Xenopus tropicalis: one gene and its partner. The protein of the gene in region 1 purifies or fractionates together with the protein of each later gene. This does not show direct contact. Links are inferred from orthologs where the notes say so. Each region holds a gene or a part of one and is shown on either strand. Other genes may lie near its edges.

The links.
Region 2: the proteins of polr2e (region 1) and polr3c purify together in Homo sapiens (affinity purification with mass spectrometry; 4 studies listed by BioGRID and IntAct, counting the BioPlex papers as one, with this or other methods). This does not show direct contact. The link is inferred for Xenopus tropicalis from reciprocal best matches to the Homo sapiens genes POLR2E and POLR3C.

What each region holds. Positions count from the first base shown.
Region 1 is NC_030677.2:100,196,725-100,200,902, reverse strand, and holds the start of polr2e (DNA-directed RNA polymerases I, II, and III subunit RPABC1), read left to right. Parts: upstream 1-1,371; 5' UTR 1,372-1,381; coding exon 1,382-1,438; intron 1,439-1,648; coding exon 1,649-1,823; intron 1,824-1,921; coding exon 1,922-2,037; intron 2,038-3,652; coding exon 3,653-3,733; intron 3,734-4,178. UniProt on the Homo sapiens protein: DNA-dependent RNA polymerase catalyzes the transcription of DNA into RNA using the four ribonucleoside triphosphates as substrates.
Region 2 is NC_030684.2:141,779,120-141,783,120, forward strand, and holds the start of polr3c (DNA-directed RNA polymerase III subunit RPC3), read left to right. Parts: upstream 1-1,192; 5' UTR 1,193-1,285; exon of another isoform or gene 1,286-1,311; intron 1,312-1,578; 5' UTR 1,579-1,591; coding exon 1,592-1,738; intron 1,739-1,818; coding exon 1,819-2,074; intron 2,075-3,212; coding exon 3,213-3,395; intron 3,396-3,506; coding exon 3,507-3,583; intron 3,584-3,669; coding exon 3,670-3,774; intron 3,775-4,001. Other genes in the region: E3 ubiquitin-protein ligase RNF115, read right to left, coding at 753-830. UniProt on the Homo sapiens protein: DNA-dependent RNA polymerase catalyzes the transcription of DNA into RNA using the four ribonucleoside triphosphates as substrates.

The DNA of each region.
Region 1 (4,178 bases):
TTATTTCTGAATTACACTATTTACATAGCAAATAATTCAGTCTACCATTTAACATTTTATTCTTGAACCAACAAATGTATTTTTTTAGCTGTAATATTGGTCTATAAGCAGCATTGTGCAAGTCTGAGCTTTCAGAAGGAGCCAGCGCTACACATTGGAACTGCTTTCAGATAACCTATTGTTTCTCCTACTTCCATATAACTGAAGGAGTCACAAGCTGGAATTGGATTTCTTACTATTGAGTGCAATTCTGAGATCTACTGGGAGCTGCTATCTTGCTACCTTCCCATTATTCTGCCGATTGGCTGCTGGGAGGGGGTTCATATCACTCCAACTTGCAGCTCAGCAGTAAAGTGTGAGTTCAGAGCACAGGTCACATGACTGTGGCACCCTGGGAAATGAAGAATATGGCTAGCCCAACGTGAAATTTCAAAATTAAATATAAAAAAAATCAGTTTGTGTTTTTGAAAAATGGATTTCAATGCAGGATTCTGCTGGAGACGCTCTATTAACAGATATGTTTTTAAAAAATACGTTTTTCCCGTGACAGTATTAATTTAACGTATTGTATCCTTACCTTGTATTTACTATCATACTTTGTATTTATTTTATTGTAATAGTCCCGTTTATTCTATTCATTTATTGTCCTACTGTACAGCGCTGGGTACATAAGTAGTGCTATATAAATAAAAATATATATACATACATAAAGATAATATTATATATCAAAATGGGGCTTGGGGCAAAAATAAAAAAAAATCTTAATAAAACACTGCTCGCCTTAAAACAGTTTAACAAGTATTTCTAAAGAATATTTAGTTTACGTAATTCTTGTAGTTAGCCTATCATTGGCACATTACCACACCCTCTTTTGCCAATAACTAATCCCTATACCTTTAGAGGGTTAACTCTTAAACTTAGCCACTTATAATATTAATGCAGAGCGCCATGTAACTATGTGACGCAATATAAATACACGAAGACGATGAATATAGGAACGGTAGTAATACCCACCAACAAAATGGTGATCTTTACAAGAACATGTACGCCGGCTTCTTGCCTACCACAAACATGGCCGAGCCCTTCAACTGCGACGATGCAATTTCTTTGGTCTTCCTTAGCGTGATACCGAAACTTGAACAAATTCTACAACCCGAATAGCCACCTTCAGCAAAAAAGGGAAACGATATTATGCGCAACTTTATTCCTTTTCCACAGTGCAGTTTTAAGCTAATAACACGTCCTCAGAGATACCCCACAGCAGTATTCGCTTGTAGCCATCAGGCAGAGTGAGGGCAGCCCATGTAGGGTCCTCCTGCAGCCCAGGGAGCCGAGCTCCGGAAATCGCGCTCTTCTTCCTGTTTGGTCTCGTGGAGACAACATGGACGATGAGGAGGAAACTTACCGGTTGTGGAAGATCCGCAAAACTATTATGCAGGTGAGAAAATTGAGTTTTAAATCTTTTTGTGTTATAATCTTCGCCTTTTTCAGTAATTCGAACTCAGCTACGTTGTGTTGGGTACCATTCATTTCTGCTTCCAGCATATACTTCTACTGTACTCTTCGTCCCTGTCACTTTTACTTTTGTGCTTTACCTCATCTGTCTCCATATTACCTGTTTCACTCGCATCCTTCTTTCCTTCGCCAGCTGTGCCATGACCGTGGTTACTTAGTAACGCAGGATGAATTGGATCAGACACTGGATGAGTTTAAAGCCCAGTTTGGGGACAAACCTAGCGAAGGGCGCCCTCGCCGAACTGACCTGACTGTATTAGTAGCTCATAATGATGATCCCACAGACCAAATGTTTGTTTTCTTCCCAGGTGAGTAGGTGCAAAAAAAAAAAAAAAAACAGTGACTGGCTGAAGGGTCTATACATGCAGACAAAGGATTATTACATGTTTGCCTGTCTTATTTGTAGAGGAACCCAAAGTTGGCATTAAGACAATTAAGATGTATTGCCAGAGAATGCAGGAGGAGAACATTACGAGGGCTTTAATCGTGGTGCAGCAGGGAATGACCCCATCTGCCAAACAGGTAATTCTGCCAGCTAACGTGCACCTTACCTAAGCATACTTACTGGGTGAACTGCAGTTCTGATCCAAAGCTTTTATAAATGAAAATGTACAGATAAAATATATACTACTCCGATGAATTAATTTTCTATGTGATTTGTATGTTTTGCTGGCAAAAGACACCTAAGCTTTATTTTTTATCTTAAAAATGGGATAAGTTTGAAAGACCCTTCTTTAAAAAGGAATACACCTATTATTAAAACTATAGATCTCATCTGCTAAATGCAAAAAAGTGCAATTTGCCATATTACCCCTCAGTGCAGCATCCTTCCTGCAGCATAGGCATACACTTACATGGTTGTCAGTCATGTGCAGTTCAGCTTCCACAACCTTGATTGGCTATGAGTGCATAAGGAGGCCCAGTGCTTAAAGGAACAGTAACACCAAAAAATGAAAGTGTATAAAAATAATTAATATATTATATACTATTGTTTTGCACTGGTAAAAGTTGTGTGTTTTCTTCATAAACACTACTGCAGTTTATATAAATACCCTACTGTGTAGCCACGGGGGCAGCCATTTAAATTGAAAAAAAGAGAAAAGGCACAGGTTGCTAAGCAGATAACAATTAAGTAGCAGATTCCCATTGTATTCTACACAGTTTATCTGGTATCTTCTTATGTAACCTGTGCCTTTTCTCCTTTTTTCAATTTAAATGGCTGCCCCCATGGCTACACAGCAGCTATTTCTATTAACTATAGTAGTCTTTCTGAAGCAAACACGCAACTTTTACTAGTGCAGGGCAACAGTAAATTATATTTTAATTATTTTAAAACATTTTTATTTTTTAGTGTTACTGTTCCTTTAACACCAGGCCCAGACTGCCAGTCTGTGGATTCTGGCAAATGCCAGAGGAACTGCTGTAAGATCCCACAGACAGTTGCTGTTTGGGCCTTTGTGTATTTGAAATATTAGGGCCTATTTTGAATCTCAGCCTGGGTCTGCATAACACCAGGTCAAACCAGATGTTAAGCACAGGGCTTGGGTGCAAGTAGGTGCAGGTCATATGCGTATGCTGTTTAAAATTTGCAATTCTGGCTGATGAACTAACATAGTCATATTATCCAAGTATAAGCAGGTTACCGTTTTATGTTCTCTGGCAAGTAAGATAAAGGCAGACGTTTACTAGTTAATTAGTTACTAGTTAATATTGTATGATTATTACTTAATACTACTACCACGTTTTCTAAAAACAGGATCGAATCACTTTATTTGCCTGATGGAAAGGTAAAGGACAACTATAAACCTTCTCTCCTATGATATAGGAAAGAGGATGGACCGGTCATTGCATATAAATATGAATGTAACCTTTTCATGCTAAATCATAATAAAGACGTTAAAAAAAAAAATTGGCAATTCTGCACCTACTTCTTGTAAGTGAGCCCTTTTGACTTCAATCCAGTTGAAACCTTGTTTCCTATGCATAGGATAAATACTGCCAAAATCTGAAAAAATATTTTAATTATTAAATTATCAGTTAATGTAGTAAAATGTTTACATGGTGTTAGTCCATAATAAATACTATCCAAAGCTTCTGCCAGCTTTCCTATCTTTATAGCAATCTCTTTATTTTGCAGTCCCTGGTGGATATGGCACCCAAATACATTCTGGAGCAGTTTCTACAACAGGAGCTTCTGATTAATATCACAGAGCATGAGGTGAGTTTTAATACAGAAGGGGAAGAAACACTTTCACTCATACTGAAACGTTTCTGTTATCCATACACACTGACATGTAATAGGTGGGTGCACATGGGAACGTTAGGTGCCTTCTTGATGAGTAGCAGCAGAGTATTGTAATGTGTTAGCCATAGTTTCAGAAAAAAGATTTTAGGTGGTAACATGATACCGTTTAAAATTAATTAACCAATAAACAGTATCACCTTCCCACAAAAATCTTTTTTTTTTTTTTTTTGTGAGTCCATATAGTTTAGAAGTTCATCTTTATTAAGTTCTGTACTGTTTATTTCTGATAGCTCAGGGATTTTACATTTGACCATAACTTTGTAAACTAAAACTCCCAATATGTTGCATTTGTAGCTCGATTGCTGGATGAATTTGTAGTTCGGTACCTCTAATAGCAAATGATAGGCAGGATGTGTAA
Region 2 (4,001 bases), on another chromosome or scaffold:
CCCGCCCCCAGGCCCCCCTACATTTCCCTCCCGCCCCCAGGCCCCCCTACATTTCCCTCCCGCCCCCAGGCCCCCCTACATTTCCCTCCCGCCCCCAGGCCCCCCTACATTTCCCTCCCGCCCCCAGGCCCCCCTACATTTCCCTCCCGCCCCCAGGCCCCCTACATTTCCCTCCCGCCCCCAAGCCCCCTACATTTCCCTCCCGCCCCCAAGCCCCCCTACATTCCCCTCCCACCCCCAAGCCCCCCTACATTCCCCTCCCACCCCCAAGCCCCCCTACATTCCCCTCCCACCCCCCTACATTTCCATCCCACCCCAAGCCCCCCCTATACTTTCCTCCCACCCCAGTACCCCTCCCCTGTCCCCTAGATTCTCCCCGCACCCCTCCCTTCGGCCTCCCTACATCCCCCATTAACCCAATTACTCCCCCCCCAAACATCTAACCTGTCCCCCACATTCCCTAACCCTGCCCCCCCCCGGGACCCCAAGCCCCTCTACCCCCCCCTCTCACCCCAGTGCCCCCGCACGTACCCCCCACTCTGTTCCCCACTCCCCCCGGGCCACACATCCAACCACTGTTTACATTGCACTCCCCCCCCCCCCCCCCCGGCCCCCAACATTCCCCTCCCCGCCACCATACCCCACCCCGGCCCATTTCGTTCCCCTCAGCCCAGCAGCCCCCCCCCCGGCCCCCCATATGCCTCCCCCACACACCCCCCAATTGGGCCCCGCACTCCCCCGCAGGGACTCACCGGCAGCTTGGGGTTGACCTCCCCCTTACAGTGATGGCAGAAGAACCGATGCTGAGACACCGCTGCCGCCTCCGCCATGATCCCTACCCGCTCTCCCCCAGCTCCGGCTGCTGCTGCTGGGAACCGCGTCACGTCAGTCCTCCCAGCACCGCCGACTCGCCTACACGAACGTCTCCTATCGTACGGCGGCGCTCTATCCCCTCCAACACCAGCGAGTCTTCCAATCAACCCCTCCCAATATCGGGGCTTGTGAGGCAAGAGTGACCCCGCACGGCGCTCTATCCCCTGCCAGCACCAGCGAGTCTTCCAATCAACCCCTCCCAATATCGGGGCTTGTGAGGCAAGAGTGACCCCGCACGGCGCTCTATCCCCTGCCAGCACCAGCGAGTCTTCCAATCAGCCTCCTCCACTGCCCCCTCAGCCCAAAAGGAGGTTCAAGAGAAGAACGGGGGGGGGTTACTAATACCGGAAGTTGCTATGTGGTAACCAAGGTGACGTTCGGACGGTGTCAGCTGACAGGAAGCGGAAGCCATGTGAGTGCTGTTGGTAGAATTCTGGTGTGAGTTTCACTCTAGGGCTGCATGGAGGCGCTGGCAGAGGATTGTGGGAGCTGAGAGTTGTAGTTCAGCCATAACTTATGATGGTGCCTTAGTTCTGACGGCTCAGACAATTGCTTCCCTACTGCCTGGGCCTCATTGGGCAGATGAGGGGCCTCAGCCCCTGTTGGGACATAAGCTTATAGTCATGTATATGTCTGGCAGTGGGATAGCAGCAGTGATAGTGCATTATAGGGTGTAGTACAACTATAACTATCCCTCTGTTTCAGCCGGTGCCGGGAGATGAGTGCGGTTGAGAGCAAGCTGTGCTCCCTGCTGCTGCAGGAACATTACGGGGAGATTGTGGACCGAGTGGGGACCTTTCTGATACGGACGGGCAACCAGCCGCTGAGAGTGATCGCCAACGAGACAGGGACGTCATTGGATCAGGCAAGTTTAACCCTCTCGCTCCCTGGGCACTGCCCCCAACTAGTCCCCGTCCCTTGATGGACTGTTTTTTCCTCCGACAGGTGAAGAAAGCCCTTTGTGTCCTGATACAGCACAACCTGGTGACCTACCAGCTGAACAAACGCGGCTTTGTCGAGTACAAGGCCCACGTCGACCGCTTCCTGCGCATACTGCGCTACCCGCGCTACATCTACACGGCAAAGACCTTGTACGGGGACACGGGGGAGCTGATTGTGGAGGAGCTGCTGCTCAATGGCAAAATGACACTAAGCGCCGCAGTAAAGAAAGTGGCCGACAGACTGACCGAGACCATGGAAGGTAATGACTGCCGCCTTGGGGTAGCCCTGTGGCAACCTTCTGGGATAGGCAGCCCAGCAACCTGATCATCCCTTCTGGCTGTCAGCTGCCCTGGTTTATATTGTGAGTGTCAGAAATCTAGGGGTGTGCATAGGGGACCCAGCCCCAAGGAGCTGACAGTCTAGTCTAGTGGTAGAATGGGAGCCCCTGTGACTAACCTAAAGAGCTTGCAATCTAGCCACTAGGGCTAAAGTCTAGTGATATAAAGGAAAGCCCTCTGGCGGTCCAAAGAAGCTTACAGTCTAGTTATAAAATGGCACACTCTGTCCCACATAGACTAATATCTATTGGTATAAGGAAATATTCATCTCCCAGGAGCTTACAGTCTAGTGGTAGAATGGGAACCCTTGTGATGGACATAAAAAGCTTACAATCTAACCACTGGGGCTAAAGTCTAGAAATATAATGGAAAGCCCTTTGACTGTCCCAAGAAGCTTACAGTCTAGCTATATAATGGAACACCCTGTCCCACATAGCCTAACATCTATTGGTATAAGGAAATATTCAGCCCCTAGGAGCTTACAGTCTATTGGTAGATTGGGAACTCTTGTGATGGACATCAAAAGCTTGCAATCTAGCCACTGGGGCTAAAGTCTAGTGATATAATGGAAAGCCCTTTGACTGTCTGAAGAAGCTTACAGTCTAGTTATATAATGGCACACCCTATCCCAAATACCCGAGCATCTATTGGTATAAGGAAATATTCAGCCCCTAGAAGCTTACAGTCTATTGGTAGAATGGGAGCCCCTGTGACTAACATAAAGAGCTTGCAATCTAGCCACTGGGGCTAAAGTCTAGTGATATAATGGAAAGCCCTTTGGCTGTCCAAAGAAGCTTACAGTCTAGTTATATAATGGCACACCCTGTCCCACATAGCATAAGATCTATTGGTAAATTGGTTAATATTTATTCAGCCCCTAGAAGCTTGCAGTCTAGTTCTATAGGGGGAAAGTCTGAAGCTGTCAGAAAGAGCTTACAATCTAGTCGCATAACTGGGAACTGTACCGCAAAGAATGTGTACTGTAGAGGAATAATAGGAACCTGCTCAATGCTTTAAGCCCATTAGCTAAGCCCTGTGTATTGTGTTCTCCCTGCGCAGACAGCAAGAGCATGGAGTACAGTGAGGTTTCTGCCACCTTTACCCACCTGGCAGATACACACTTTGTGCAGCGGTGCCCGACTGTGCAGGAGAAGGATGCCACGGAGGGCCGCCCACCACTTGCCCCAACCCTGCAGATGAATGAGAAGGAAATGTACATCGTCCCTAAGCTAAATATGACAGGTAAGTGCCCTTGTGGGGCAGCCGCTCTCCGATACTGCCCGGAGGTGTATACAATGTAGGAAGGGGTGCTACTGGATACCCCTTGTTATGCTGTGCCTATTGTTGCTCTAGGCAGGGGCAAACGCCGCAGATCATCTGATGATGACGATGGAGGCAGTCAGGCCAAGAGACCAAAAAAGGAAGCAGAGGTGGGTGTTCATCGTTCACCCCAATATGGCCCTGCATTCTTGTCTTGCCTGTAACTTACCCTTTCCTCCTTGGTCTCCCTGCCCAGGATAGCCAAGATGATGGCGTCTACTGGCAAGTCAACACGGAGCGGTTCCACCAGCACTTCCGGGACCAGGCTATTATCAGCGCTGTTTCCAATAAAATGGACCAGGTACCTTGTGGCAGAACCCCTTGAGGGGTATGTAGTTTAAGGGGCAGGTATAAACACCTAAATCAAGCAGGTCTTGTATAATGGGCACCAAATACAATCATTGGTTGCTATGGGTTGCTACAACTGGGCACACTTTGGGCCTTATGTTGCATTACCTTCGACCCTTCAGGAAGTAGCGGCAATGTACTACACTGATGCAACAGCAATAAAATGGTCGCTTCCAGTGA